Linked DNA regions of Pelodiscus sinensis. The protein of the gene in region 1 interacts with the protein of each later gene in a pairwise test. Links are inferred from orthologs where the notes say so. Each region holds a gene or a part of one and is shown on either strand. Other genes may lie near its edges. The genes, in order: PSMD9 and NCKIPSD.

Region 1 (14,777 bases):
GTATATACGTGAATCCGCGATGGTCGAACCGCGAAGTAGCGAGGGTTCACTGTACAGTGAACATAAAATTGATCCTTACCAAAACTTTAAAAAGCCTCGGGGGAAGCCGGCGGGGGGGCATCCCAGGCGCGCCTGGGCTGCTCCCCCGCCGGAGCCCCTCCGCGGCTTTCAAAGCCTCGGGGGAAGCCGGCGGGGGGGCATCCCAGGCGCGCCTGGGCTGCTCCCCCGCCGGAGCCCCTCCGCGGCTTTCAAAGCCTCGGGGGAAGCCGGCGGGGGGGCATCCCAGGCGCGCCTGGGCTGCTCCCCCGCCGGAGCCCCTCCGCGGCTTTCAAAGCCTCGGGGGAAGCCGGCGGGGGGGCATCCCAGGCGCGCCTGGGCTGCTCCCCCGCCGGAGCCCCTCCGCGGCTTTCAAAGCCTCGGGGGAAGCCGGCGGGGGGGCATCCCAGGCGCGCCTGGGCTGCTCCCCCGCCGGAGCCCCTCCGCGGCTTTCAAAGGCTTTGAAAGCCGCGGAGGGGCTCCGGCGGGGGAGCAGCCCAGGCGCGCCTGGGATGCCCCCCCGCCGGCTTCCCCCGAGGCTATGGTGGAGAGTTAAAAGTTCCTCTCTTTTTGAAGTTTATCTCCATTGTTCCTTGATTGGCCAACAGCAAGCACTCTCAGTAGAGACCAAGCATTACACCTACATTCTGCTCCCAACTCTGTCAGCTCAGGAAAAAACCTCACAATTCTTAACTTTTCTTCACTGGTCTTAGGGATAATATTTAATAGCATAGCTATAGGGCCAACAGTCACAAAAAAAACACAAGCAGGAGGAGCCTGATGTTCGTTTTCCAGAGTGGGAAACTGAGACTAATGGTCTCTTTGAACTATCACAAAAGAAAAAATATCCAACCTTCAGTTCTAAGCCTGAAAAGAGAGCTCAGCCAAAGCTGGTAACCTGCTCACCCCTTCGCTGTGCTGCACCACAGTGGCAATATTCTGCAGGGACTGGAAGTTGTGTGTGTCGACAGAGCCAAATGCAATGATCTCATCATCGACCTGTAATCCCTTTTCAAAGAAACAAAAGGAAACTCGCATCATTTGCCCTCAAAAATACACAGTGGTGTGAGTTCATATAACATCTTTCATCCAAGGCTCTTTACAGCACCTGATAAATATTCAACTAGGTTGCAGCTCCATTCAAGAATCTCAAAGCATTCCTCAAGAGTTAGCAGATTTCCTCAGAACCGCCATGGGAAATAGGGGGGTAGTATTTATTATCCCTGTTACACAGATGGGGAAACTGAGGCACAAAGTGGTGGCATGGCCTTACCCAAGGTCCTACAAAGTGTCAGTTGGAGAGTTAGGGAAGAACCCAGTTCAGATTTCCATCCCTATGCCTGATTCATTAGCTAGATATTCTAACATGGCCACAGCTCTATAGGGTATAGCAATGCGTACTACTTTATACTGTCGAGGCGAACAGAAATAATTATGTCCATGAGGAAAGTTACAAGCACCCAGCAAGAATCTGGTTTAAAACAGAACTTCAAACCCTGCACCTGATTACAGGTGAATGGGGAGAACCACCTGCCATATCTGGGGTCCAAATGGCAGAGTTTCCGCCGTTGGAAGCAAGACAATTGTACTTGCCGAGATACTAGCAGGAGAGCCTGGGGTGACAGCATTCACTCTTGCAAAGGGTTGAGGCAAACTCTGGTCCTGATTCATTGCTTCGGCCTGAGCTTCGGCCTCATCCTTTGCACGTTTCTCCTTCTCTCGGGCATGTAGCTGGTGGAGGGCTTTTTCCACCTGAAGCATTAGGACCTTGTGATCATTCTGCAAACCTAAGGGCGAGACACATTAGTGCAGAGAAGACAGGAACAATCACGTTTTCATTTAAGGTCCTTACCTAACAGATACATTTACCTCTCTGTCTGAGATTTCTAGCTTTGAATTAAAACTAAGACTTTTGCTCCTCTTAGGCCTACACTGTGAATGAAACTGTGCTAGCAACAATGGCATTGCTGCTCCTAGTTCAGTTTCTCTGATCAGTTTGGCTACCTGAGAATCACATTAAATCTATGTTATGTAGTCAGGAACATGGTTACTTTCTATGGGAGTTAGTCAATGTTCCCAAATACACTAAAAGATCCACTGTGTAAGCATAACCAGTTACAACAGCCATCACCTGACAGCGCCATGGTTACCGACTGAGAGCTCTTTCACAGCTCTGCTCAGGAGCACAGCATTGATACACAACTACACACAAGGTGCGTAGAAACAGCCACATTACAAATTAAGTAAAAACCTATAGACTAAACAGAGTATATAGACTAGGGAGATCAGTGTCCTCATAAAGAACACAAAACAACCAAATCCCCTTTCCATCCAATCACCCTCTCTATCCGATCGGCAACACACGGCATGTATGCTAGAAGTGGATAAGGTTTTGAGTGGTGTGGTTGCGTGACGGATGGCTCCCCGTGCCGCAGCTGGGTCAGGGTGAGGTTGTCCTTGCTGGGGCAGCCTCACCACAGCCCCGGTTCCTGCTCTGTGGCAGCCACATGGTCCACCTGGTGGGGCCACGTAGCAGAGCGAGGCTGCTCTAGGAGCCACAGCTGGAGCTGGGTCGCGGTGAGGCTGTCCCTGCTAGGGTAGCCTCGCTGCTTCCCCAGTTCCTGCTCCGTGGCAGTCACACAGCCTGACCAGCCGGGCTGCATAGCAGGCCACTGCTTTGGAGGCTGGAGCTGCTCTGGGGGCAGCCAGCCCACATGGAGGAACATGACTGTTCCAGGGGCTGGAGCTGCTCCAAGGGCGGCTGGACATGGCAGAGCAGGGCTGCTAGGCCATGTGAGGGAGTGGGGCAGGCTGGAGCTGGACTGGAGTGCAACAGATGCGGTAAGGAGGGGGCTCATTCTAGGACGCAGTTTTCCTGCTTCGGTAGGGGGTGTGAGGAGCTGCCTTCCAGCCCGTCCAACACGTTCACCTGGGAGTCCCGTCCCTGCATCCTCCAGCCTGCCAGTCTCCGCCCTGTTGCACAGCCCTAGCCCTACAGCTTCAGCACTCCCTGCTCCACTTTCCTCCCTTTCTGCCTCGTGATGTCCCTGGCAGGCGGGCTAAAGACAGTGCTGAAGTCACGTCCCACCGCTAGCACCACCACCACGGGGCCCCCACTAGAGGGTGAGTGCTGCTCGGGCTGTAGCTCCGGGGCTGGGTGGCAGCGGCTCAGGGGAGAGGAAAATGCATGTGGGGGTCCTCTGACCCCAAAGCAGCATTAGCCCCAGGTGCAGGAAAAGCTGAAATACAGTCCAGGATAGGAGACCAAGCAGGGCACACGGTGGAGAGAGCCCCCCCGAGAGAGTGGCACAGCCCAGGACAGGAGGGTTAAATCTTGGTACACCACTTTGGAAAAGCTGCCGAACCCTGCTCTACATGCAACACTTATTTCTAAACAATGACTATTATAATACATTTGTCCACAAAATACAAAGCAATCACTAAATTTAAAAGGAACAACGTTGACTAGTTTAGATCCAACATTTATTTTCTAAAGAACACAGAAAAGTTTTACAATAATACAAAAATATTACTGTTTTTATTAATCATTAATAGGTGCATTAATAATGTTGCACACACATTTTAACAGATTCATTTTTATGACTGAGCCACTCTACTTGAACTTTTGTAGTACCTGACCAGAGGGAAAAGCTGCTTGGAAACAAAACTCAAACTGACCCATTTTTATTTTGCAATCTGGATGAAGTTAAAATATTAAATAGCACTAGGAGTGTATTACTATAAAGATGACTAATTATTTTTACTAATAAAGTGTTTTAATAATCTATTTTGTTATTATAAACTAAAGAAACTTACTGTTGTAAATATATAAATGTCCAATCAATAATTTTGCTTTATGTAAACAGTATTCAGTTTTATTTCTTTATGTTTACCAATGGGAAAAACAAAACGAACCAAACCAGATGTTTGTAAAAAAAAGAACCAAATTTCTGATAAGTGTGGTCTGTTTCATTTAGCTCAGCCCCTGACAAGATACTTTTGAGGACTGAATTGCTTACAGATAATGTTGTGCCTGGCTGTACGAACTTGGTATATATCGACATCTGCACGTGGAAACCCTTCAGCATCAACCAGCGGCTCGTTCATCCCGACTCCCTTTTGCTGCAGAATGGAAATACTTTCATGCGTCAAGTATTCTTGAGACAAGTTACATTTTGTTTCTCATTTTTAAAGGACAAAAATATGGCACCTGTGGTCTCAACAGCTTGTTTAGTAGGTTGAACTCATAGGTCAGAGTGGGTTAGTACAGCATATAGGTAAGAACCAGCTACCAGTACTGGCTCGTACACAACTGACATTATAGTGCTGCTGTGGCAGTGCTTTAACATCAGTGGCCCTGCTGAACCCTACACTAACAGGGCTGCCCACAGGGGAAGCAAAAGGAGCAGCTGCCCTGCTGATTTAAAAGGTCCTGGCTGTCACTACTGCAGTGGCCTCAACCTGGGAAGAGGGGAATGAAGGGGACCTTCTAATCACTTCCAGTGCTCTCAGCTGTTCCCATTGCCCTCTACATCACCACCCAAACCCTGGGGCTACTGGCTGATGTGGAAACAGAACCCACAAAGGGCTGACTGGGGGAGTCTCATCCCTCCAACCCCACCCTTCTGGGGACCCAGAGCTGCCCCCCGCCTTGCCAAGGAGGCAATTACTTTTGCACCAGAATGAACTAAATGAAGTCTGTAAGGACATTGCAGATCTGAGTTTGCACAGACCCCATCCCTGCCCTGAGGACTGCCCATCTGGATGCATTCCTTGACATTTCATCACAACATAATCTTGAACGCAACAATGATCTTTAATTCCTGGAGGCTCCACGACCATCCTGGGAGACCCCGCCATGAACTCTCCCCTCTCACTGAATGTGCACATATGCCACAGCCCAGCTTTGCACAGAGACCCCCTACAGTGAACCCTGTGCATGTGGGCTGTCAGGCTCTAACCTGAGAGACCAATACACACAAACAGGGCCGGATTAAGGCATGGGCTAGCCGGGCAGCTGCCCGGGATGCCAACCTATGTGGGGCGCCTGATGGCAGCTATAAGGGATGCGCAGCGCCCCTTATAGCTACCGTCAGGTACCGCACGCCCAGCTCCCAGCGGCCACCCTGCAGCGGTGCTGCGTTAACCCCTGCAGTGCCAAACAGCAGTGCCCTTCCCCCGTGGCCATGGGGCCTTGCACGGGCAGGCTTGGCCCGCATCAGGCAGCCTCGGGCTGCGCACCAGCAGTGATAGTCGGGCTGGGCCGGGCCAGGCATATGCATCCTGCCAGGGCCAGCTCCGCACGCCCTCCCCCACACGCTCGGCAGGGGCGGGGCCGCACAGGCACGCGCCCCAACACACTGGCACGGGGGCGCGCATCCCCCCCCCACACAGGGAGCGTCTCGGCCCCCAGCAGCGCCCCGCCCCCCGCGCACGCACCCCCTCCAGCACCGCGTAGCACGCTTTGATCTGGGCCTCGATCTCGTCCTTCCGGCGCATCAGCTCCTGCACGTCGCTCATGGTCACGGGCCCGGCCTCCTCCGCCATCGCCTCGACCCAGCCACCCCCGCCCGCGCGTCACGCGCCGCGCAGCAGGATGGGCGGGGGGGGGGGGCAGAGGAGGGGCGGAGCCATCGCCCCGCCTCCTCGCGCTGTGGGCGGGCCCGGCGCGCGTGGGCGGGGCCAGGGGGCAGCAGGGCCCGGCGCGCGTGGGCGGGGCCAGGGGGCAGCAGGGCCCGGCGCGCGTGGGCGGGGCCAGGGGGCAGCAGAGCCCGGCGCGCGTGGGCGGGGCCAGGGGGCAGCAGAGCCCGGCGCGCGTGGGCGGGGCCAGGGGGCAGCAGAGCCCGGCGCGCGTGGGCGGGGCCACGAGGCAGCAGGGCCCGGCGCGCGTGGGCGCGGCCAGGGGACAGCAGGGCCCGGCGCGCGTGGGCGGGGCCAGGGGGCAGCAGGGCCCGGCGCGCGTGGGCGGGGCCAGGGGGCAGCAGGGCCCGGAGAGCGGCTGCAATGCCAGTCAGGCGCGCACGGGTTAAAATGCACCGTGGGAGGGGGGAGGGGTCACTAACCAACCCCCCCTCCCCCCACGCCTGTACGTGGCGAGGGACACTGCGGCCTTGCAGGGGATTTGCAAGCACTTTAAGCGCGGGAGCGTCCCCCCGGTCACCGCCCCTCTCTGTATCATCCCGGCACCTGCCGCCCCGCGCCTTGGCCCCTTGGGAGCGGCTGCAGCATTTCAGCCTCTCGACCGGCGCCGCCAGACGCTGCATCCTCTTGGCCAGGGAGACTTCTAGTGGAAACGTCATTCAGGGCAGCCCGGGGGGGGGGGCTACTAGCGCTCATCGCGGGGTACAAAGTGGAGCGGCAAAGTCCTTCTCGAGCTCCCACGTGTCCGCCACGTTCCACTGAAGCCGCTTCCAGGCTGATCGTTCCGTCCCGGTTTTGTGTCCTGGGAATGGTCGCTGGCGGCTTTTGAAGAGTTCTGCAGTGCTGGCTTCCATGGACCATGTGGAGGGCTGGGACGGGGAGAGAGGGCTTATGAGTGGGTTTGTTTTTTTTAATCTTCTTCTTTGAAGTAGGAATCTACTTTGAAGTAGGAATAAGATCCTCCGGAAAAGGGCGCTTTTTTCTGGAGGATCGGGGCCAGTGTAGACGCTCTTTTCCGGCTTTTCTAAAAGCCGGAAAAAAGTGGTGGACATTTTTATTTAAATGCCGCGGGGGATATTTAAATCCCCCGTGGATTTCCCTATTACGATAGCTGAAATTAACATGCCCCTTCCGGAAAAGGGGCCAGTGTAGACGTAGCCTGGCTGTTCAGCACATCTACTTCTAGTTTTAGGCATGGTGGAAGTTCTTAGGTTATGTGTTTTTGTTTTGTCAAGGTTTTTATTTGCAAGAAATTTCATAATGAGGATGAATGGCACTTCAGATATACCCTTGTTGGGGTGAGCAGAGAATGCTTGCATTGATTTGCCTTTGAACTGGAAAGAAATGGGATTTTGCCCAATTATAATAAATACAATCAGAGAAAACAATGTTTTCTTGCTTGGCTGGACAGAAAACACTATACTAAAGAAGGATACTTAAACTCTGGCAGTCAGCTGGCTAAATCATAGTCTAACAGTGGTTTTCAGACTCTTTTTTTTCTCAAGACCCAGTTGAAGAAAGTTGTTGATGTCTGTGACCCCATATAATTTGACTGGTTTGTGGGTTCCAGGGTGGGGCTGAAGATGAGAGCTTTGAGGTGTAGGAGGGGGCTCTGGCTTGAGTGGGGGTCATTGCTAGGGCAGGAGGGGCTGACCTTGAATGGCTCTCAGAGGTGCAGCGGGAGTGCTAAGGCAGCTTCCTGCCTCCTGGCATTGCAGACTTTGCTGTATGCTCTCCCCTCCTCTCCAGGAGCTGGGCCTGTGGTGCAGTCTGCGCTGCAAGGTCAGGCAGGGAGCTAGCTGATCCCCCTGCAGCAATGAGACCCAGTGCTTGACATTCCATGGCCCAGTACTCAGTTGCAACCCATAGTTTGAAAACTAGTAGCCAAATAGGCCTCTCCTCCATCTCCCATTGGGCTGCTGGTGAGTGTGGTTTAAAGGAGAGTGGGGAATGGAAACAAAAAAAAGTTTTCTTGGGAGGGTGCCTGTTGCAGTCACCAGCTCTAGCGTGCGCTCAGAAAAAGCTGTGGAAGATCTTGGACAATCTTGGTCTTGAATTATTCCTGAGGACACAACAGTGTGTGAAAAGCTTGGACAATCTTGGTCTTGAATTATTCCTGAGGACACAACAGTGTGTGAAATGGTGGGAGGATCAGCAGACTTAACTAAACAGCACAGCAGTCAACTGGGTCTTTCCCTTACAAACAAATCAAACAAGCAGAAGTGAGAAAACAGAAAACTCCCTTGGGGTTCAGCTGAGTCCTCTGATCCCAGCCCTCTCCTTGCCAAAAGTATCTCTCCATGTCTCCCAAGCAAGCTCCACTGCTATTAACTGCCAAAGTTAACTGCCTGCAACAAATTATAACAGGCTTGTTTCTTTCCTGGCAGGGAAGAAGAAACCATACTATAACTGGATTTCCCAGATCCATGAGAGGCCTGATTTTCCTCTTAATTGCTGTCAATTAGACATAGTGGTGGAAGCCAAACAAGTACACTGCACAGCCATCAAATAATACATTTTGGTTAGTGCTTTCCTATTCTAGATTTGTAGCAGTAATCTAGATCTGAAAAGCACCCATTCCAATTGCCAATTCCCTGAGCAATGCCTAGACACCTTCAAGTAAATTTTTTGGTTTTAAATTCTCCCTGCAGCAAACATCTGTGAATGCTGGCACTGTCAGAGTTCTGCTTCAAAGATATGGGATGTGATGGTCCACAAGCTAAAATCAGTGAAATCTGGTGTTAATCCAGGCTATGTCTACATTGGCATGATCTTGCGCAACTATTTAACGCAAGACTTCTGTTAAAGTATTTGCGCAAGAGAGCGTCTACACTGGCATGTGCCTTTGCGCAAGAGATGTGCTTTTGTGCATGAGCATCCGTGCCAGTGTAGATGCTCTCTTGCGCAAGAAAGCTCCAATGGCCATTTTAGCCATCAGGCTTTCTTGTGCAAGAAATTCATGTTGCCTGTCTACACTGGCCTCTTGCGCAGGAACAGTTGCGCAAAAGGGCTTATTCCTGAGCGGGAGTGTCATAGTTCTTACGCAAGAAGCACTGACTTCACACATCAGAACGTCAGTGTTCTTGCGCAAGAACTCCCCGCCAGTGTAGACAGGCAGCATGTGTTTATGGAAAAGTGGCCACTTTGGTGAAAGATCATGCCAGTGTCGACACAGCCCAAAAGTACAGAGTTACTTTGGGTTAATACTACATTCTGATGAGAATCTGGTCTTTTTTTTAGACTTTCCTTAGATAATTTGATTCACAGATAAGCTGCAGCTAAAGTAACCTGGACCCTTGGCTCAGAATTTGTAAACAGTTTTTCTTTCTTTCAACATAAATATGAACTCCATGTTATCATTTCTGAGCCCATGGCAGAATGATTCAAACCAAGTAAATCATTTAGTTTACAAGATAGAAAGGGTGGAGTCAGGGAGGGGCTTTCTCTCTTCCCATTGCTATATTAAATACATAGAAAGACTCTGACTGTCTCTTGGGGCTACCACATTGTCAGGTTACAAAAATGGTGAGGTTGAGATTTTTTAAAATTTGCTGGCAACACATTATTGGGGGTAAATGAGCTAATCTCTCACTGTGTTTGTATAGGTTTGTCTTCAGTTATTCAGGGTACTGTTTGTGCTTTGAAAAGCTGGGCTATTTAATTTATCTGTTTAAAGCAGTTCAGAACACTTATTTTCTAAAAAGTGACCTGATGGACTAGTTTTCTGGTGATTAATGTACATTTTTTTAATTTATCTCTTTAGACAACTTACACAGACAAAGGAGAAAAGGTAAGAATACAATTGCATGGAATGGGTTTATGTTCCCTCCAATGAAAGACTGGTACTATTAGTGCAACACTGATATTATAAATGTCTTCTACATTGATGGTTAGGTAGGATTAAAAGTCTGAAGGGGCTCCAGTTTTATAGTGTTGGAACACAGTTTATATTTAGAGTTCTCCTTTTCTGTAAGTTGCAGTTAATGATGCAGATCTTTTTTCTTCGCTTTTTTGGGGGAAGGAGAAATGTAAGATTACTGACATTACCAGTTAAGATCAAACTCTTCCAAGTCTAGAGATAAGCACAATTTATTATTTCTCAATAAAAACTGTAAATATATTTTAAAAACTTGTTTCAAACAAACTTTTTTTAAAATATTGATCTGTATAGCATAATGATGTTTAATTGCTAAATGCTATCCCGTATAACATAAGTTTACTTAATGCATTATCTTTTATATAAAGTATATGCACAAATAATTAATAGTGATTACAAATGAGAAGACAGGAGAAAGTAGATATCAAATCATAAGTAAGATAGAAAAGCTGTTTATTAAAGTAGTGTTTGACCAAATAATGTTATGAAATACTTCAAAAAAGTTTGTTAAATTCCCCAACTGTGGCTTGGACCCACATTTGCAGTTGAGTAAGAGCTTTCCTTGATGAGAATTAATCTTTAACGTAACAAGGTTAACAAACTCATATTGGATCCATACAGTTGAGTGGGTTATTTGTCCAGTGGCACAAAGTCTATTTTCCATTATTCTCTGTAACTCATCCTCATTATAATCAGTGTAATAAGAGAACAATTCATCCATTGGCTTGTGTCTGTTCTCACTTGAACTGGTTTTACATGTGACTTAATTGACGAGTGAAAGTACTCCTACTTTACAAGGCTGGGAGAACAGAATCAGGTATTTTGTGTTCAGTGACAAAGTTATGACTGAGCAGATCGGCTGCTGTGTGTTCTCTCCATCAGAGACTCCTGAATGATTATTTTCCAGAATCCCGAAGGAAAGAACCACTCTGCAGATTACCCGTGGAAATGTTTTGTCCAACTTTGCTCCTTCCTGTCTTGTGAATATTTTACTAGCATCTCTCTCATCCACACTGGTATTTTTCCTCCAGAGCATGTTTGGAGGGTGCTGTGATTTGATCCAGTTAGGCCATATTTACCCTGGTCATTATACATAAGTTTTTAGTGGCTTTATTTTTAGATAAATTACTATTGAATGGTTAGAAGACAAACTAATTGTTTTGCTTGGAATATATAACAGCCCCCCCCTCCCCCCAGGCCTTTTCAAAGTCCAGTGTTCTGGGGGTCAGTGCCCAGCAAACATCAGAGCTCTCTAGGGACTCCTCAGAAAACCTGTGATGTAGGAATACTTTGAATTATTTTCAGCCTTCAAAAGTGGTTTATTTCAGATATCTTGAGTATATATTTTTATAAAACCCTAGTCTCAGATTTGTGCTTTCCACAGTTTTATTATTTCAAATGATAAATGTGCAATCACACCAAGTTTCTCTAGCTATACCAATCTAGGTCTGACCCACTACTTGCTAAAATAGAGACAGTGTCATTTTAAAAGTGTAGCATTAAAGTGAGACCCAAAACCCTGTAGGTTCATATTAACTCTTCTTCCTTCCATTTAGCCTGAAGGAGGCAAATTTCTCCACTTCCACTCTCTCACATTCTGGGTTGGAAATGCTAAGCAGGTATGTAGGTAAAAGTCACATCTGCCTCTGCTTGTGAGTATGGGAGTTGGATCATTTTTTGTACGCTATCACTGTTTGAAGAACAGGGGCATACTGTAATCCACCTTTGCTATTGGCTGTCAGGAGGGGAGGGTCTGCCATGTGATTTCTGGATTGTCCTGGGGATCTGCATTCAATTAACATTCCCTTAGAGGCTGGCTCTGGTGATTTTGCGCAGATGGAGGTGTTACAGCACTTTTGTTCAGTAGTATGTTCTTCCAGCATGGTCTTTGGACCATCATTATGCAACAGTGTTGTTTACATTGCAGACAGGGCACCAAATTGTGTGGACTTGCATGTAAACATTTGTCTTCCTAAATTCGTGGGCATTTAGAAAATCCAAAATACATTATATGAAACCACACAAGAGATTTGCAGTGGCACCTGTTTAATATAAAAAAAACCCTCACAAAAACATAGTTCCTGCTGCTTCCCCAGCCAAGTCCCTATCTCCAGGCCTTTGTGAGACCATTAGATGGAGGCATTGTGTGACAGTCTTGTTTGCAAAGTGATAAGATATCAGTCTTTGCTGATTGGCCCGGCAGCTGTATCATTCCATGTTAAAATGACATTAGCAAGTTAAAAATCCTTCCAGTTTAGAAACCCAATTCTTTTTCTTAGTAACATCTCAGGTTCATGGAAAGGATAATAAAAAGTTCACTTATATTTCAGTATTCATTGAATTAACGTACATTCAGCCTGGAAAAGGGTAGTCAGTTTCGATCCTATTTATTCCCAGCTATTTATTCCCACTTTCTAATTCTCCTACATAAGCCTGATATTGCAGTCTTTGTAACTAAAAGGGAAAACATTCGTTTCAAAATAAGCCATTTCATTTTTAAAAAAATCACAGAACCTGTTCTTTTGCTGTTAGACTTTGTAAGAACACATTATGATCTGCCCTTTTGCTACCAGACTCCTTACCATGCCATTTACAGCAAGGTTTGCAGTATAGCCTTGAGTCTTTTCTTCTCCAGCATAGTGATTAAGCTCACTTAGCAGGTGCAGGAACGTATTTAAAAATGTGTGAATCACTGCAAATGATTGGAAAGACTCCACTGAAAACCACAGTTGCCTTCAACAGGATCTTTCCCATAGAGGAGAGGATTGTTACAAGACAACAGAACAAGTGAACATACCCAGATAAAGAATTGCAAACTTCCCAGCTTGGGGTTCAACTGAGTCTGAGACTTGTGACGCCTGCCTATGGAGCCCAGAATTCTGCCTGTCTCAGGCAGTATCTCTTAGAGCCTTCTTGAGCATCTGTGCAAAGGGGGTAGAACACTGAATTGGACTGAATCCCTCATTTATTAGGGACCAGGCAGTGCCTGTCATGCTCAGGGCTATACGTGCAAAGGGACCGCTAAATAATAATGTATGCATGCAAAGGGGCCATTGGCGGACTGGAACATGAGACCTTTACCAGTCTGTCTGTGCCAGTGCGTGTGTCAAAGAGAGTGCAGAAGGAGCATCCCTAAGGCTATCCAGAGTGTTACTCAACACTGACTGGACAATTGTTCAACTGTGTGTGAGTTAGCTGGTGGCTCCTGCCTCCCTGGGACTCAGCACTAGACCTACTCCCACCCTGCAGGAGAGGTCACAGTTCTGAACAGAAACAGCTGCTATGCACGCACATTGTTCTCCACTGCCCCAGTCATATCCACCGTCCTTGCTCGTGGCTGCTGGCCTTGTGCTGAGTGTGACACAGCCCTCCGTAGCTGCCATCTCTGCTGTTGTGTGTGGTGTAAGCCCAGCTGAGTTGGTTCTCTCGGACCTCAGCACCACCTACTGCCCCATAAGGGTTTAGAGGATCAACTTTTAGTCATGTGACTGCTCCTGGCATCAAATCACCCATCAGTTGCTGCATCCTGTGACCATCACATTATCCAGTTAGAGACCCAGCCACAAGGGGAAAGCTTGACACTTGGACAGCCTAAGTCAGGGCCTAAAAAGCAGCAGGCTAAATAGAGCAGTGTATAGCAAAGTATAGAAATACTTGAAATACAGTACAGAAATACTTGATTTGAACCTGTAAAAGATCTAAGTTAATTTGCAGGTCCCTAAAAAATTTCAGATGGAGGTGTGGACCTCTTTGGAAATCTTAGATGTAGTTTGCAGACCTTTTGGGGGCTCCATAAATCCCAGGTTGAAAACCATTATTCTGTGGTAACAACAACCTTTCACGGACCCCTTAAGACCTGGTCTGTGGATCCGTAGGGGTCCACAGACTGAAAATAGCTGTGCTATGCTTGTAGCATCACCATGTGTCGTTATCTGCTTAAGATGCACAAACAAGGGTTTTCTTGTGCAATATTACAGGCCCATATAGAAAGGGAAGTTTGATGTTACTTTAAGAAGCATGTTTCAAATCATTCAACAGCTGGATGACAGTGCACATTAGCTGTTCGCTATAGGGTGGGGCCCGTGGGTGATGCTGTAAAGCTGTCCTTTGGAGAGTGCTGGTATGGAAAAAAGTGTTATGAGGAAGTGGTCCTAATGTGTGTTCATGTATTTCAAAGGCTGCCTCATTTTATTGTAACAAAATGGGATTTGAAGAACTGGCCTACAGGGGCCTGGAAACTGGCAGCAGAGAAGTGGTGTCTCATGTAATAAAGCAGGACAAGGTAAGCTCGCTGAAGAATACTTTAAGCGCTATCAAAAGCGTGATGCTCCTACTCTGGTAGCAGCTTGAGGGGAATAATAAAGTGTTGTTTTCAGTTGTTTTAAATGAGGTGAGAGAAGAGATGATGTTCTAAGAACCAGGAGCTCCAACCCTGCCTTTGAGACGGACTCCCTATTAGTTTGGCCACATGATGTAACCCATGTGCCTCAATTTGCCCAATGGCATCACACGGTCAGGGGAGGGGGCGAATGCCCAAGTTAATTTGCATGCGATGCTTGGTCTTTTTGTCTGGACAAAGGCAGGCTGGTCACATTTTGAATTCCAGTGTGTCACATTAAAATAAACTGCCTCAGTCCTGGAAGCCATTTGGAATAGCCCATTAGCATGGTGCTGTCCTGTGAGGCAGTGTACCTGTTACAGTTGCTTCCTCAGCTAGGACTGAGGCTGAGGGCTCAGCTTCCAGCCCAAGGACTGATATTTTTACAGTTTTCTGATTATTGGCCCCAAAAGAGCCCTTCTCCTCTCGAGTGGTTCGCAGGCCAGTCCTGTGGTCTTTCCTTGCCTGTCCGCCGGCAGAGCCGGTGATTTCAGTGGGAGTTTTGTTTGAATCAGGTCAGCAGGAGTTCATCTCAGTCTGTAACAGAGCAATGCCAAGCGTGCCGGGATATTTTAAATAGGAGATGGCTGAATATTGCATAAGTGTTCATTAGCATTTATGTAAATAAAAACACATACATGCTTTTGATGTACCTCTTAGGCACAAATGAAACCCTCCTTTCCCACGAACTGTATCCGGCTGCAAATAATCTCTAATGTTCTGCTTAATTCTCAGATCATATTTGTCTTCTCATCTGCTCTCAACCCTGAAAACAGAGGTAAATGAAAATACTCATCAGAGATGATAAAGGCCTGTGAGCAGCTGAACCTTCTGGGCTGCAATCTG
Region 2 (15,571 bases), on another chromosome or scaffold:
CAAATGCTTTGGAGCATAGAATTAAAATTCAAAATGATCTGGACAAACTGGAAAAATGATCTGAAGTAAACAGAATGAAACTTGGTAAAGACAAATGCAAAATACTCTGGATAGGAAAAGAACAGTCAGATGCACACAAACAAAATGGGGAATGACTACCCAGGAAGGAGTACTGTGGAAAGCAACCAGGGAGTCATTGTGGACTACAAGCTAAAACTGTTATAAAAAAGTGAACATCACTCTGAGATGTATTAGCTGAAGTGACATAAGTAAGACATGAAAAGTAATTCTTCTGCTCTACTTCTGCTGATTAGGCTTCAACTGGAATACTGTGCCCAGTTGTGGGAGCTACATCTCAGAAATGAGGTGGACAAATTGGAAAAAGATCAGAGAAGAGCAACAAAAATTATTGAAAGTCTAGAAAACATGACCTATGAGGGAAGATTGAAGCAGCTGAGTATTAGTCTTGAAAAAAGAAGTCTCAGCACGTCTACACTAAAAGGGAAGGTCAACTTAAGATACGCAACTCCAGCTACATTAATTATATAGCTGGAGTCGAAATTTAACATCCCTAAATGTCACTTAATTCTTTGACTGTTTTGTTGGGCTTTATAATAGAATAGAATCACAGAATACTAGAACTGGAAGGGACCTCGAGGTCATCGAGTCCAGTCCCCTTCCCTCATGGCAGGACCCACAACCGGCTAGACCCTCCTGGGTAGATGTCTATCTAACCTGCTCTTAAATACCTCCAGAGATGGAGATTCCACAACCTCCCTAGGCAACTTATTCCAGTGTTTCACCACCCTGACAGTTAGGAAGTTTTTCCTAATGTCCAACTTAAACCTCTTTTGCTACAGTTTAAGCCGATTACTTCTTGTCCTATTCTCAGAGGCTAAGGAGGACAATTTTTCTCCCTCCTCCTTGTGACGCCCTTTTAGATACCTAAAGACTGCTATCATGTCCCTTCTCAGTCATCTCCTTTCCAAACTAAACAAGCCCAATTCTTTCAGTCTTCCTTCCTAGGTTGTGTTCTTTAGACCTTTAATCATTCTTGTTGCTCTTCTCTGGATCTTCTCCAATTGCTCCACATCTTTCTTGAAATGTGGTTTCCAGAACTGGACACAATATTCCAATTGAGGCCTAATCAGCACAAAGTAGAGCGGAAGAATAACTTCTCATGTCTTGCTCACAACACACCTGTTAATGCATCCCAGAATCATGTTTGCTTTTTTTGCAACAGCATCACACTGTTGGCTCATATTTAGCTTGTGGTCCATTATGACTCCTAGATTCCTTTCTGCAGTACTCCTTCCTAGACAGTCACTTCCCATTCTGTATGTGTGAAACGGATTGTTCCTTCCGAAGTGGAATATTTTGCATTTGTCCTTATTAAACTTCATCCTATTTTCCTCAGGCCATTTCTCCAGTTTGTCTAGATCATTTTGAATTATGACCCTATCCTCCAAAGCAGTTGTAACCCACGTGGCCCACTCACTAGTCTTGGTTGTGCATCGCTGGTCTAGATAAAAAATAGTCCAGCCACAAGTGCAGGAAACTGGACTAGATGACCTCTTGAGGTCCCTTCTAGGTCTATGATTCTACATGATAGGGAGAGTGAGTTGATATGAGCATTACAGTATTGCCAGCCCCTATCTTCAGCAGTCATGAGTGAGGTCTCAGCTTAAAAACGCTGAGATAGTTAACGATTAATACATGTTGCACTGATTTTCTTCGCCCTCTGATTTCAGAGTTTTCGGGGTGCACTCAAGTCATGTTCTCAAGCCTTTCTCTACAACCACAAAAGCTAGAAAAGTCTTTTTAAAAGGTAAGCCAATTTCCCCTATTTAAGAATTTGGAAGCTGGAACTTTAAGGAAAAGCATCAACTGTCACCAGATGTGATAAATGATGAGAGCTGGCAACATGCACTTGGAAGCTCTATTTGTATGCTCTGTACATTTATTGTACTAAGGGTCTCATCCAGGCACTGGGGCTCTCTCCCAGCGTGATTCAAGCCACATCTCATCCCTATTCACTGCATGTGACAGCCTCACAACCATGGACCATCAGAACATAAGAATGGCCATACTAGGTCAGACCACAAAGGTCCATCTAGTCCAATATCCTGTCTTTCAACAGTGGTCAATGGCAGGTGCCCCAGAGGGAGTGGACAGAACAGCCGAACAGGTAACCATCAAGTGATCCATTCCCTGTCGCCCATTCCCAGCTTCTGACAAACAGAGGCTAGAGACATCATTCCTGCCCATTCTGGCTAATAGCAGTGCCCATTTCCCCTTCCAGAACACAACTAAGCCCTTTCTATTCTTCCATCATAAAGTTTGCTGAGCAGGCTCAATCATCTGTATCAGGCCTGCTTGTTTCTCCACTTCTATCCAGTCTCCTAGATCTTACTGGCTTACCTGTAAGTTCTTCTCTACTGTGTTGCCATGATAACCTCTTTGGCTTTGCACGGTCTCATTGTGACACCATCTGTGATCTCTGCTCTGATCTTTCCTGTCCTGAAGTCACTAGCTCTTCTTCACTGTCCTAGTCCTTCCCTCTGAACTTGGTGTCATCATTAAAGAACCCACTTTCCATGCCAAGATGGGTTCCTTTGCTTTGCTCCTTGGACTGCATTCCCTAGGGTATGTCTACACTGCAAGGCTATTTCAAAATAAGATATTCAGGAATAGTTATTCTGAAATAACATATCTACGCTGAAGGGAAGCCTCAAAATTAGTCTGAGGCAGGCTTTCCTAATGTAGATCTGCTATCTCAGGAGGCACTGGGGAGGAATAACTTAGAATGGCCCTGGTGAAGGGCTATTTCAAAATAGCAGCAGTGGAGTGTGTACACATGCCTTATTTCGAAATAGCTATTTTGGAATAGGAGTTATTCCTCGTGGAATAAGGTTTACAGAAGTTGGAATGAGCCATCCGTTATTTTGGAATTATTTTGAAATAATGGAATGGCTATGGAGATGCTCACATTGTTATTTTGAAATAACGCTAGTTATCTTGACATAATAGTGCAGTATAGACGCACCCCTAGCTGGCAGATACCTCTTCTCTTTTCCTCACTGACTGATCCCGGCTCACCCACCCCACTGACTGATCCTGGCCTCACTTGAGGGATATAAAGTCAGAGCACAGTCCTTTTAGCATGGCCCTCAATGAGCAGGAGCTGGCAGAGGCTGCATATCCCTCAACCATCCCACTGTGCTTCAAAATTCCTACATGCAGCTCTGCCCCAACATCTATTTGCTGCACCAGGCCTTTAAGTCCAAACAGTGGCCAGGCCTCTCAGCTACACTCAGAAAGTTTCTCTGTCTTCCTGCACAGCACTGACTTAGGGGCATGCTCACTGTGTGCCCAGTGTGCACTGTGCTGTGGTTATTCTGAGCTGTCAGAATATGGATAGCCATTCAAGGATGGCAGACTAGTGGTTTGTGTGCTGGGGCTAAGTCACACCAGAAGCCAGCTGGGCTTCTGGCAGGGTCTAGAATTCAGAGGGACACAAGTGGCACAGGTTAATTGTGTGTAAATTTACCTTAGCCTCCTGCCCTCTATCCACTGGGTGATGTCTCTTGAAAGACAACACTAGGAATCAGGGCCTGGGTGTTTAGAAGGTCGAGAGGAAGCACAGAGCCTGAAAACCTGCTTCGAGGAAACTGCTCCACTTCTAATGGTCCCTGTGTCCGTGCTGAAGCATAACATTTGAAAGCCTAGTGCTATGGTTTATTTTCATGATTACCCAGAATGCTCTGGGAGCCATTTCACAATTGTTCACTAGTCTCCATGTTGGGAATAAGCCAAGTGACACAGATGTGTTTTGATGCACTGAGCCCAGTCCCAGCCTCTCATCTGCTCACACAGCTCTGGTAACTCCTCACTGTGACTTTTCTGGAACAATGTTCTGAAGTACAGAAGACTGACAATGAACTGTGTTCATATTGTTTCATAAACCTTTACTGCCCTCTGCTGGGTATTCATCAAACCAAAGACTGCCTCATGTCCATTTTTGCATTGTTTGTATTGTTTTTTGAACTTTGTCTCGTTTTAAGTGATGTTGTGATCTCTTGTTTTGTCATTGAATAACCTGCTGTATTATACAAGATTACTTCCCAAACGTATCTGGCAGCAGCCATTTCCTGGATCGAATGGATGAGAGACTGATTTCAGAACATAGTAATTGCTGCACTGAATCAGACCCTAGTTTCACCTAAGCTCATTCCCTACTTGTAATGGTAGAGGTTGACTTCAACACTAAAGCAAGAACGTTTATATCCCTGTTTAATTTTATTAAATTATATTCTTCCCATCCATATACATGTCCAGCCCCACTGCCAAGTTCCTATGCAAGTGAGTTGCACAGATTGTGTGTTGTACAAAGAAGTATTTCCTTTTATCAGTTTTGAATTTGCTGTCTTTCAGTGTTATCAACTGTTCCCTTGATGTGGTGTTATGGAACAGGAGGACCTGATCTAACATAGAAAACTTAGAACTCTGAAAAATCTGCTTATAGGTGTCCCAGACTGGGCATCTGAAATCAGAAACCTTTGAGTAGCACTAATTGGAAAATTTCTGGCAAAACATTTTTTCACCACAAAATGTTGATTAATCAACATTTAAATACGCCATGCAAATGTGTTGATTTTTAGACTAGAAAAGTTGCCAATGGAACCCTGCATGCCTAATTTCAGCCTATCTGGTGGGCTGACAGGGAATAGAGAACCTGGGAGCTCTGAGTGTTTTGACTATGAAGCTCACAGCTCTTCTGCAGTCCTGCTCTGGAGTCAGGGCTGCCAGGGCCCTGCCTCTGGTGAACTGCTGTGGAACCCAGGGACCTACACTTTCTCAGGGAGGTTAGTGGCCAATCTCCCACCTGACCAGCTCTCTGGGCTGCCCTCCATCCTGGCATGCTGGTATTGGGTGAACATTTCTGAGATTTTTATCTCTTGTTTTGCTATTGAATGAAAAAAAAATTGAAAACCTCAGACTTGTTAATAGAATAGAAAATACTGTATCCATTCAGATCTGCTTTTGACCTTACTTTCTCTGTGCTTTAGCTCTGCATCGGTAAAATGGGGATAGTAATAATCATCTCACTAGAGGGTTGTGAAAATAAATTAATGTTTATGCACCACTCAGATGCTAAATTGGGGAGTACTACAGAAGAGCCCGTGAGGAAATCAATAAATCTATCTTCAGACTCAGAGCAAGGTATTGTAGAAGCTATTTTATGTTTAGCTAGAAGCCATCTTGTATATCAGAAACCATTTCAGCTTTTCTCTCAAGCACGTAGACCAGAGTGAACTTTCTGTCAACCCGTGAGAAGAGGCCTACAGGATGGGTTATTGGTATGTGTTAATTGGGCTGGTTGGGACAGGAGATGTACTCCCTCGTACCTGTCCGCCATCTTGTTGATAAGGCTTTGTTTTTCCAAATTTAATTGAGGATTTCTGTAATTGGATGCCCTGACATCAGACTGTTTGGCTAAGGGTATAAAGATACTAGGATTGATTGTATTAGCAGCCTTACTGGGCCCGGCTTTGCTGGGACCACGTTTGGCTCACTTTGCTTTACTGATCAATAAAGCAATCAGTTGTTAGCCGCCTAAACAGAGAGGAGCGTGTATTTGCTTCGACAGTATGAATAACATGCAGTAAATAAGGTGTAGGGGCACACACTGAACAACAAGATGAACAAATATTGAATAGCTGCCCATTTACTGAGCACCATACCTATGCACAAAATGAGGCAGGGGTTTGGTGAGCAGGGTATGGGCACATGTAATTAAAGACTACCACAATGCAGATGCCCAAGGGTGCCCAACTTTTTAAATGATCTTTAAATATCACTTTTGCTTGTTACATACTGCTCAGCTTTCCCTTTGATATTTATATACCCACTGCTTCTTCCTCCTCCTCCCCCCTTCCTTATTTTTGGTTCTGGACATCCAACACTGGTCATCTAAAGAAGTGGGCTGTGCCCACGAAAGCTCATGATACCATCTACATCAGTGGTAGTCTGCACCCCTTTGGTTCTCAAAATATGTTCTCGTACCCCTTATTAAAAATCGTTGAAATAGGTCAGTTTTAAATCTAAGATATATCATAAAAATCTGGCATGTCTCACACCCCCACAAAGGGCATCTTGCACCCCCAAGGGGTGTGTGCACCCCAGGTTAAGAACCACTGATCTACATGTTTTGTTAGTCTTTAAAGTGCTACCAGACTATTTGTTGTTTTTTAAGTTTATCCTGTACAGACTAACTCGGCTACCCCTCTGAAGCTCTTAAATATCACTGTTATCTTAAATATCACTGTTATGTGTAATGCCATACACTTGTAGCATGTCCCCTCCTATTCATCTCCTAAGGTAAATATCCCAATCTTCTCAAGCTCTTCCTGTGTGTTTTACTAGCTCCTTGATAACTTTCCTTGCTTTCTTTGAACCTGCAATATTCTGCAATAGTCTTTTTGAGATGGGGTGATCAATACTGCACAGGGTATTCTAGACAAGAGGGAACCTGTGATTTATATAATGGTACTGTACTATTTTCTGTATTATATCCAATCCTATTTCCCCAGCTGTGGCAGATGCTCTAACTTACAGCAAATTAGTGGGAGTCCAATGAGCTGTTCTGCATTCCAAAACAAAGTGCTGTGGTCTTGCCCTTCCTGGCCCTCCTAATTTGGCCCCCATACTAAAGGTAACAAGGAGCTGGGAGAGAATAGAGCCATGTATGTCAGACCTATGCTACTCTTGCACCGTGCTAGTTCCATTTTATACAAGTTCTGTCCACATTCCAGAATCCGGGCTTTGTGGCCTGTGACTAGAGTCCCATACAGCCCAGGGGGGAGGAAGGCAGCAGGGCAATGGGGGCTTGATAGTGGAGCCCAGGAGGGAGCAGTGGGAATGATTAAATGCAGAAATGTCTCTGCAGTGAGCGCAGCCACACAGCAAAGGGTTGGCTCTATGTGGGGCCAGGTGTGGCAGCGGTCTGATGTGATGTGGGGCAGGAGCCCGGAGTGATGTGACAGGGCGGTAAACGCTTGGGGGTGACGGTAATGAGGGGGTGGGGGCGCTATGTGCAGGGGTGAGAGGAGGCCCGGGCAGGAGCCAGGACCCGCATGGAGGGGAGCTGGCAGGGGAGGTAATGCCCCATGGCGGGGAGGCAGGAGCCACGAGGGAGGGGAAGGGAAGGCTCATGCGGCTATAAGGGGGCAGGAGTCACACGGGTGGAGGGGCTGCCCCAAGTGGGAGGGATAGAAGCCAGGAGCAAGGGGAGGGGAAGCCCCCTGCGGGGGGGCCACGCAGGCCTGAGGAACACGCGGGTGCAGCCGCTGCCTCCCGCAGAAGGGGTTGGGGGCGGGGCTGACCCGTGTGCGGAGGCGGGGCCATGCTGGGGGCAGCCGACCCAGCAGGGGGCGCTCACGCCCAACAGACTGGCCAAACCAGGAGGCGGGGCCACGCGGTGACGTCGACCGACCAGATGACGCAGCACGCTGGTGGGTGGGGCCGTGTTGACATCGGGAGCCGGCACCTGCAGGGCCGGGCTGAGCCGCCACCATGTACCGGGCCCTGTACAGCTTCCGCTCCGCCGAGCCCAACTCGCTGCCCCTCGCCGCCGGGGAGACCTTCCTGCTGCTGGAGCGCAGCAACCAGCACTGGTGGCTGGTGACCCGCGCGGGCTCCGGCGAGACGGGCTACGCGCCGGCCTCCTACCTGCAGCGGCTGCAGGTCAGAGCCGGGCACGTGGGCTGCGAGGCGGGCTCGGCGCCCCGTCCTAGGGCAAAGCCGGCCCGGGGGGCTGGGCGGGTTGGAATGGGGGATGGGCTGCCGGGGCGAGAAGGAGAGGACAGGTTGGGGGGGCTAGGGGGGGAGAGAGGACAGGCTGGGTTGGGGGGGCTAGGGGGGGAGAGAGGACAGGCTGGGTTGGGGGGGCTAGGGGGGGAGAGAGGACAGGCTGGGTTGGGGGGGCTAGGGGGGGAGAGAGCACAGGCTGGGTTTTGGGGGCCCTCTTCTAAAATGGCTGCAGCCAATCAGTTGGGCGTTTAGGGATGGGCATTATCCTGGCTGTGGCATGCCAGAGGATGAAACGTGGCCTCTTTGTAGGATGAGGCTTAACGCTAATAACAGAGAGACTGTACTACAGAGACTGACTGAAGTTCTGTAGTGCAGTCTTTAGAGGGCATCTATTCTGGGAACCAGCTACTTTTTAGCCTCTTTCCTCAGAAAGTAACAAGTCATGGGGTGCTGTGCTAGTAACACGGTCTATGCACAAGCTTTCTGTCCCACACAGAGGATGTCCAAATTATAGTCATGAAGTTCTTGAATCAGCTGGATCTGTGCAGAGGAGATGCAACCACTCCTGTCTGCAGCTGTAGAGGATAATGAGGTTAAGCCAAGTATGAGGACCACTGCCTGAGAGGTCCACTGTCGTCTTACCATTTGCTGAGGTGACAGTTTGGGTGTTTTGGTTGCCAAGGACCAGGAAACACTGACCTGGTGATGCAAGTTATGCACTAAACTTCTGTAGGTCAGGACCATAGAGAAGAAACATGGAGCTTTACTCCAAGGACATAAGTTATATGTTGGCCCCTACATATAATGGGTTAGAAGACAAGGGAGTTGGGGGTATCGGTATGGAAGAAGTTATATGCTGGTTCTGTATCCTCTGCTCTCATGAGAGTATGAGGGGGAAAAGGAAAAGTTCACATGGCCTGCACTAGTGAGACTAGATGTATAGTTGGTCGACTCCCCGAGGTTGAGTCAGTGGATGATAGGCTATGTGCTGCTTTTAATGTCTGAATTTACCATTAAGTATTGCTTCTATATTAAGCAGTTATTGTCACAATCTGTATGTTAGAGCAAATGTGCAGAGAATTGCTTTGAAAATGGCTATTTGTAGCTTCTGCTGTGTATAAGTGAGAATGTTTAGCAGCAGATCAGTCACACACATTTCACTAACAGTTAGAATAATATGGGGGCTAATAACAGGCCTGTCCCAGCACTGATGTGGGAGAAGCCAGAACAACCAGCTGTAATGATAGTGGCAGTAATTATAGTCAAGTCAGTGACATTAGTAATTATAGAAAATAAGAGGACAGACTCTTCCAACCCTAATAGGAGTCAGAATGATGAGAGCTCATGCAGTAATCACAACAGCAGGGAAAACCCATACATTTTTGTAGGTGCTGTAGAACAAAAACTTGCATTTCACTGGATAACGTGGGATATAGAGATTACGAGAAGTTAATGCATGCAGCAATTTACAAGCATTTCATAGAGTTTAATCACATTCTTATAAGTCTGATGCCTATCTTGAGTTATTACGAATGTACAGGGGAACTGGTCTGGTTTCCAGCTATGACTGTGTTATGAATTTGATGCCTATAGCTTTGACAAGAGCTGGCACCTGGTCTGCCAGTGTGACTCTAAGATTAGACCTTTGTACTTGAGTAAGGATCCTATCCTGCAACTCCTATTCATGACAATAGTCGGACTTCAATTGGATTACAGGCAGTCCCCGGGTTACGTACAAGATAGGGACTGTAGGTTTGTTCTTAAGTTGAATCTGTATGTAAGTCGGAACTGGCGTCCAGATTCAGCCGCTGCTGAAACTGATCAGTTACAACAGCGGCTGAATCTGGACGCCAGTTCTGACTTACATACAGATTCAACTTAAGAACCTCAGGCATCCCCAAGTCAGCTGCTGCTGAAACTGATCAGCAGCTGATTCCAGGAAGCCCGGAGCAGGGGCTTCCTGTAGTCAGCCACTGGTCAGTTTCAGCAGCGGCTGACTTGAGGATGCCTGGGGCAGAGCAGCTGGGGTGCTGCTGGGTTGGTCCAGTAGCGCCGCCGCTCCTCGGCACTACTGGACCAACCCAGCAGCACCCCAGCTGCTCTGCCCCAGGTGTCCTGATTCAGCCGCTGCTGAAACTGATCAGCAGCGGCTGAATCAGGACTCCTGGGGCAGAGCAGCTGGGGTGCTGCCCGGTTGGTCCAGTAGCGCCAAGGAGCGGTGCTGCGGGACCAACCGGCAGCGCCTCACCTGCTCTACCACAGGCCTGGGGCTTTGCTCCACGTCTCCCTGGTCTGCTGGAGAGGGTGGGGGGGAGGCCACTAGCTGCGTTCCTCCCCCGCCCCCCCCCCCAGCAGACCAGGGACACCCGGAGCAAAGCCGCAGCGGCGGCGGGGTGCCGCGCCTCTGAGGCTTTGCTCTGTCAAAGCCTCAGAGGCGCGGGACCCCTCCGCCTCTCCGGCTTTGCTCCAGGTGTCCCTGGTCTGCTGGAGACGGTCCCCAGCAGACCAGGGGCACCTGGAGCAGCTTTTCTCACCCTGGAGGTCAAGGTGGCGGGACCGCTGCGCTCTGGGTGGTCCCGCTGCCTGCGAGCTCCGGGGCGAGAGAGCCCCGTTCGTAAGTGCGGATCCGACATAAGTCGGATCCGCGTAACTCGGGGACTGCCTGTATTCATGTAAGAATCAGGTGCTGAAATATTTCATAGCACTTACAAAGCTGAAGTTGTAATTAAAACAATATATTTTTAAAATAATCTGTGGACTTGAGTGAATGTACTACTTGTGCAATTTTTTTCTCCATTCTCTTGCTTCATCTGCTCATCTAGTAGTGCCATGCCTCCTTTTTGTCCCTCCACAAAGTTTCACTGTGGTTGGTGCAGAAGTCATATTCACTGCAACTCCTGCCTTCTGGAGCAATCTTCCTGTATTTCTTTGCCTCAAGCACTGTAGTTTAAAATCTCATCTGAAAACCTCTCTCTTCCTTTTTGCCCTTCTATTTTGCTTTCACACTGAAGTACTTTCAAGCCACGGGTTGCATTAAAGATGGTTAGAATGGTTATAGAGATAGTATATTAATCACAAATATTAAAATGAATGTGAAAGCAGGGTTATGACATGTTATGAAAATAGATTCTGGTACTTCATATTTATTCTCCTTTAGTTCAAACATGACTTTCCAAACTGCTATTTTAACCTGTTACCAGGAAATACAGAGGTGGCAGAAAAGCTCCATGTTATTTGACAATAAAGGTTCTGGAACCAGAACTTGACTTGTGATCATACGTGCATGAGGCAGATGAGAATTCAAATAACTGCTCTGTAATTATATCAGTGCTTAGTTACATTGACTGCATCTCATTAAGTGATTTCAGAGTGCTTTGAGGTCAGCTTTTCAGTTCTGTCTGGAGTCAAAATTTGCTTTTATTAGTAAACTAAGTAGACCTGATATGGAAAAACCTTTTTGTGACTTAAGCCTTGCTTTAGACAGTTGAATGGACTGATAGCGACAAGAATGCAAACAAGATACACCACCTCTCTATTTAATAAGTTTGATGCTAATTAAACAGAGAAGTAATTAATGTCACTACGAGCACTACAAGAATAATGAAGCTAACAATTAGTGACAGGGTGTACTGAGCAGGCAAAGAGAGCATGTCAGCAATGGACCGTTGCAAACAAGTCAGTAGGATCATTTATAGTGCAGTCAAGTTATTGGTAAGCAGTCCATGTTCCAACAATCACAGTCAAAATAAGTAAACATCTTATTGCTATTGCTTCCCAGAGGAATCTCATAAAAAAGGATATAGGGATGTGAATGGTTAACCAGTTAATCTGTTAACTGATAAGTGTCACTTTTACCAGGTGATGCTTACCAATTACAGTTAACCAGCCTGGCTAGCACAGTGGAGCTAGGGGTGTTCTAGCCTAGCTAGAGTAGCCCCCATCCTCTTGCTCCCATTTAAGTGGTTTACCCACAGGTGGGCAATTGGATTGGGGTATCGCTCCAAGATTTTAAGAGGTCAAGGGCCGCATTTCTGTGGGGGGTATGTGGAGTCTGGGACAGAGGTTGGGTGTAGAAGGGAGCTTGGGGTAGGGAACTGGGGGTGCAGGAAACCGTGTGAGGTCTGAAAGGGAGTTTAGGTGAAGGAGGGGGTTGTGCTGTGGGGTGGGGAGATGGAGTGTGGTGCAGGACCCGGGAGGGGGTTTGAGTGCAGGAGAGGGAGAATTTTAGCCTGGGGGAGGCATGTATGAGGGAGTGCAGGGTCTGGGAAGGAGTTGTGACCTGGAGGAGGTGGGGAGAGGGAGTACAGAGGGTTTGCTTGGTGACCTGCGGCAGGAGAAGATGGTGACTTGGGATATGGGAGGAGACTTTCCTCGCTCCCCTGCCCCTAGGCCAATTAGGGCTTGCGGACGGGGGAGTGCGCAAAGCCTCCTCTGCTCTCTTCTCCCCCCCCCCCCCCCAAGCAGCGCCTGATGCTTCAAAGCACCATGTGCCCCTATACTGAAGGAGGCTTTGCATGCTCCCCCACCCCCAGGCCAGATAGTTCTTGCCCCCCGCCCCCAGCCTTCTTCGCTCTGCCCCTGCCTTGTGAGCAGCGTGGTGCTTCAAAGCGCCGCATGCTCCTAGTAGGGTGGGAGGAGGCTTCGGGGTGGAGGAGCACGCGAAGCGCTGCATGCTGCTCTCAGGGCGGGGGCAGAGCAAAGAAAGCTTCATGCCTGATTGGCCCGCACCTGGCCCACAGAGGCCATTTTGCCCACCCCTGGTGTAAAGGCAGTCCAATTTGTCCAAGGTACATGGTAGAAGGGCATTGCTGGCACATGATAGCACATATATTAGATATGCAAGTGAACAAAGCCTTGCTGGTATAGCTGATGTGGTGAGGTCTTATGATGGGGTAACTAGGGTAGATATGGACAGTTGGTAATGGGGTGGTTGTTGGCATTGGTTTCTGGCTTAGTGTTTCTGTTACGGGGTGTGAAGTTGATGGTGAATATTTGTTTCAGATTGAGGGGCTATGTATTTGGCAAACCATTCCAGCATAAGATGTAGCTTATACTGGAATAAACATGTTCCTGCTGACACAGTTTATACCAGTTCACCAAGACAGATGAGCTATGTGGACAAAAGCATGTTTTTGCCAGTATAAACTGCATGCGTGTCAGGGTGTATACTGGTATAGCTTTTCTGGTTAAAGAAATAAACCCCTCTTCTAACCAGCATAGATTTGTTGGTATAAATTTTAAGTGTAGAACAAGCTTGGGGGAAAGAACATGGGCCGCCTCCTACTTTTTGCCTTAGAGCAAGCACAGAATTTGAAGCAAAAGTAATTGCTTGCTTGAATTTAGACTTTGTATGAAGTCTTGGCTGAGCACTAAACTGCAAATAGAGATGTGCTGGCAGACTCTGAAATAGCAATATTTGCAAGCAAAACTAACAAACTAGAAAGCTAACAGGTGCTGCTGATCAAACAAGTGAGAATCTACACCTGACACTGAGCTGTCCAGTAATGGCACAAAATAATTGCCTTGAGTTACTGACATAGCAGAGACAAGTGCTGCTAATAGCTAATGCCAGGCAGATGCTGTTGTAGTGAAATCATCAACACAAAAGCTTGGTATTTTCTGATTAAATGGGAAGGAGCCAATTGGCAGAAGGTTTAGTTTTTCATCACAAACGACATGAGTGACACTGAAGTGGTTTCTGAATGGCAGAAGAATATGGAGATTAAATTGGAGTCTGGCTTTTCAGTCCGAGACAGTCATTCATTACAGAAGATGAGCCTTTTGAAGTTTTTTACGAAGTAGTAAAAATTTCAATTTAAAAGCTTCCTCTGGAGCAGGGTTTTTATTCTCTGTGTCACGGAGGAGAGTGGCTGGCTGGTGAAAGAGGAGAAAGATGAGTGTAACGAATAACAAGGATCCTTTCACTGGGTTAAATAGCCCATATGTTACTATCCTAATGCTAAGATGTGTGATTACTTAATGGGAATCTGGAACTGTTCCAAGTTCCGGCTTCCAGCCTATGAAGACCTGAATTGTACCACCACAACAGTAGAAGCTGCTTACTTGCCATCAGTGAGGTCGATGCAGTTGACGACAAGGCCAGAAAAGGCCACTTGGTACATAGAATCTGACCCGCTACGGTTTGCAAGGCTGACTGTAAGAGAATAGTTGCTTTAGCTGTCTTATTAATACTTGCCTAGCCTTGGTGGCCAGAGATTCAAGCATGAAGTTTCAAACACCTAGGTTCCTGGGGATAAGTTTGAATCTTGGCAGGGCCACCTGAGCCCTTATATATTCCATGCAGTTTATAGATTACTGGGCTTAAAGAGAGACTTTAAAGGGTAGGATTTTTGTCTGCTCTGTGTAGACTTTAATGATCTCTCCTGATGATTTTTTTCATAAGTTAGGGTTTGCCTTTCTGTTCTTAGCTAATTTTTTCCCTCCTGTATCTCACTATTGTGCATTGTTACTGTGTGCTAGATGATTACTGCCTGCCACCCCAGAGCTGACTGCATGTAAAAAATACTATTTTGTATACACTGAAAAGCATTTTAGCAACCAGAGAGACTAAATACGTGTGAAATATTATCTAATCTTTCCTGATATCACTGCAGTCAGGGAGCTTCCACTATCCAACTACTGACTCTAAAAACGTTTCTCTTAATATGTAACCTGAATTCTTTAGTTACTGGCTGTTCCTTTTTGTTCTGTTGTTTTCTGAAACGGAATAATTCCTCTCCTTCTTGTGAAGGTTACTATGAGGGTTCTTATGTGTGGTGAAGAACAGAAGGTTCCAGTAAGATACGAACTACTGATGACACTTGGTTAAGAGGACTAGTGTTGCAATCTCTGAGTCCTGTATCCTCGTGGCTCTTTTGTGACAGTCAGTCTCTCATGGGGTTTCCCATGTTGCTGGCTAAGTATGTGACTGAAATGACAAGACTGTTATAGGGAGGGGCTACTGTTTTTCCTCTAGAGCGGTGGTGACCCTGAGATATCTGTGATAGTTAGGCAGGCAGCAAACTAGTCCATGATATCAAAAAGGATGAGAGATCTTGCTGTAGAGGTATCTGGTATTGGCCCCAAGCTAGTGTCCAGATTCTGGATCTGATTGACCACTAGGATCTGCTACTTCAGGTCATACTCTCCAGGCAGGCATTATCTCATGAATACCCTTGAAATAATAGACTTGTTGCTGTAGATTTGCAGTGACTGCATTAGTGGACGGTGTATCAGTTAATTGGATTAATGGGTAAATCTTGTCTTATCGAATTATCAACTAGTTGACTACTTGCATTCTCCCCCCCCTTGCTGTCTCTATATCAGAGGCAGCAAGGTGCAGGGAAGCAGGAGCTGGTGCTGGGTGGAATGCACTTAAGTCAGTTTCTTCCCCCCCCACCTCCAGCACCAACTCCATGATGCTACCTGTCCCTCCACATTGCTGCCTCTGTCTGAAGCAGCAGTGTCGGGGAGGGAGGCCCAGGGGAGGCTGCTCCCCGTGGGGTCCGAGCTCCCCGCGGACAGAAGCTTCAGCAGATCCCCCACAAACAGGGACTGCTGCTGGAGCAACTTGCAGCGGATAGAGGCTGCTTTGCAGCAGCCTCCCCCACCCCCTTTTCTCCAGCAGCCTCTGTCTGCGGGGAGCTCGGACCCCTGTGGACAGGGCCTGCTGCCACCCTGCGTTGCTGCCTCTGTACCACAGGGCAATAGGCAGTTGGTCCACGAAGAGAGCTAGTTTTTAAATTGGCTCCCCTCATGG

The links.
Region 2: the proteins of PSMD9 (region 1) and NCKIPSD interact in binary tests that used the Homo sapiens proteins (3 or more experiments, as listed by UniProt). The two-hybrid records come from large-scale screens. The link is inferred for Pelodiscus sinensis from reciprocal best matches to the Homo sapiens genes PSMD9 and NCKIPSD.

The regions. Positions count from the first base shown.
Region 1 is NC_134725.1:33,296,283-33,311,059, reverse strand, and holds the start of PSMD9 (26S proteasome non-ATPase regulatory subunit 9), read right to left. Parts: upstream 5,645-14,777; 5' UTR 5,584-5,644; coding exon 5,476-5,583; intron 4,159-5,475; coding exon 4,056-4,158; intron 1,824-4,055; coding exon 1,630-1,823; intron 1,045-1,629; coding exon 943-1,044; intron 1-942. Other genes in the region: HPD (4-hydroxyphenylpyruvate dioxygenase), read left to right, coding at 9,199-9,201, 9,440-9,466, 11,110-11,172, 13,731-13,835, 14,667-14,709. UniProt on the Homo sapiens protein: Acts as a chaperone during the assembly of the 26S proteasome, specifically of the base subcomplex of the PA700/19S regulatory complex (RC).
Region 2 is NC_134721.1:26,038,763-26,054,333, reverse strand, and holds the start of NCKIPSD (NCK-interacting protein with SH3 domain), read left to right. Parts: upstream 1-7,496; 5' UTR 7,497-7,575; coding exon 7,576-7,746; intron 7,747-15,571. UniProt on the Homo sapiens protein: Has an important role in stress fiber formation induced by active diaphanous protein homolog 1 (DRF1). Induces microspike formation, in vivo. In vitro, stimulates N-WASP-induced ARP2/3 complex activation in the absence of CDC42.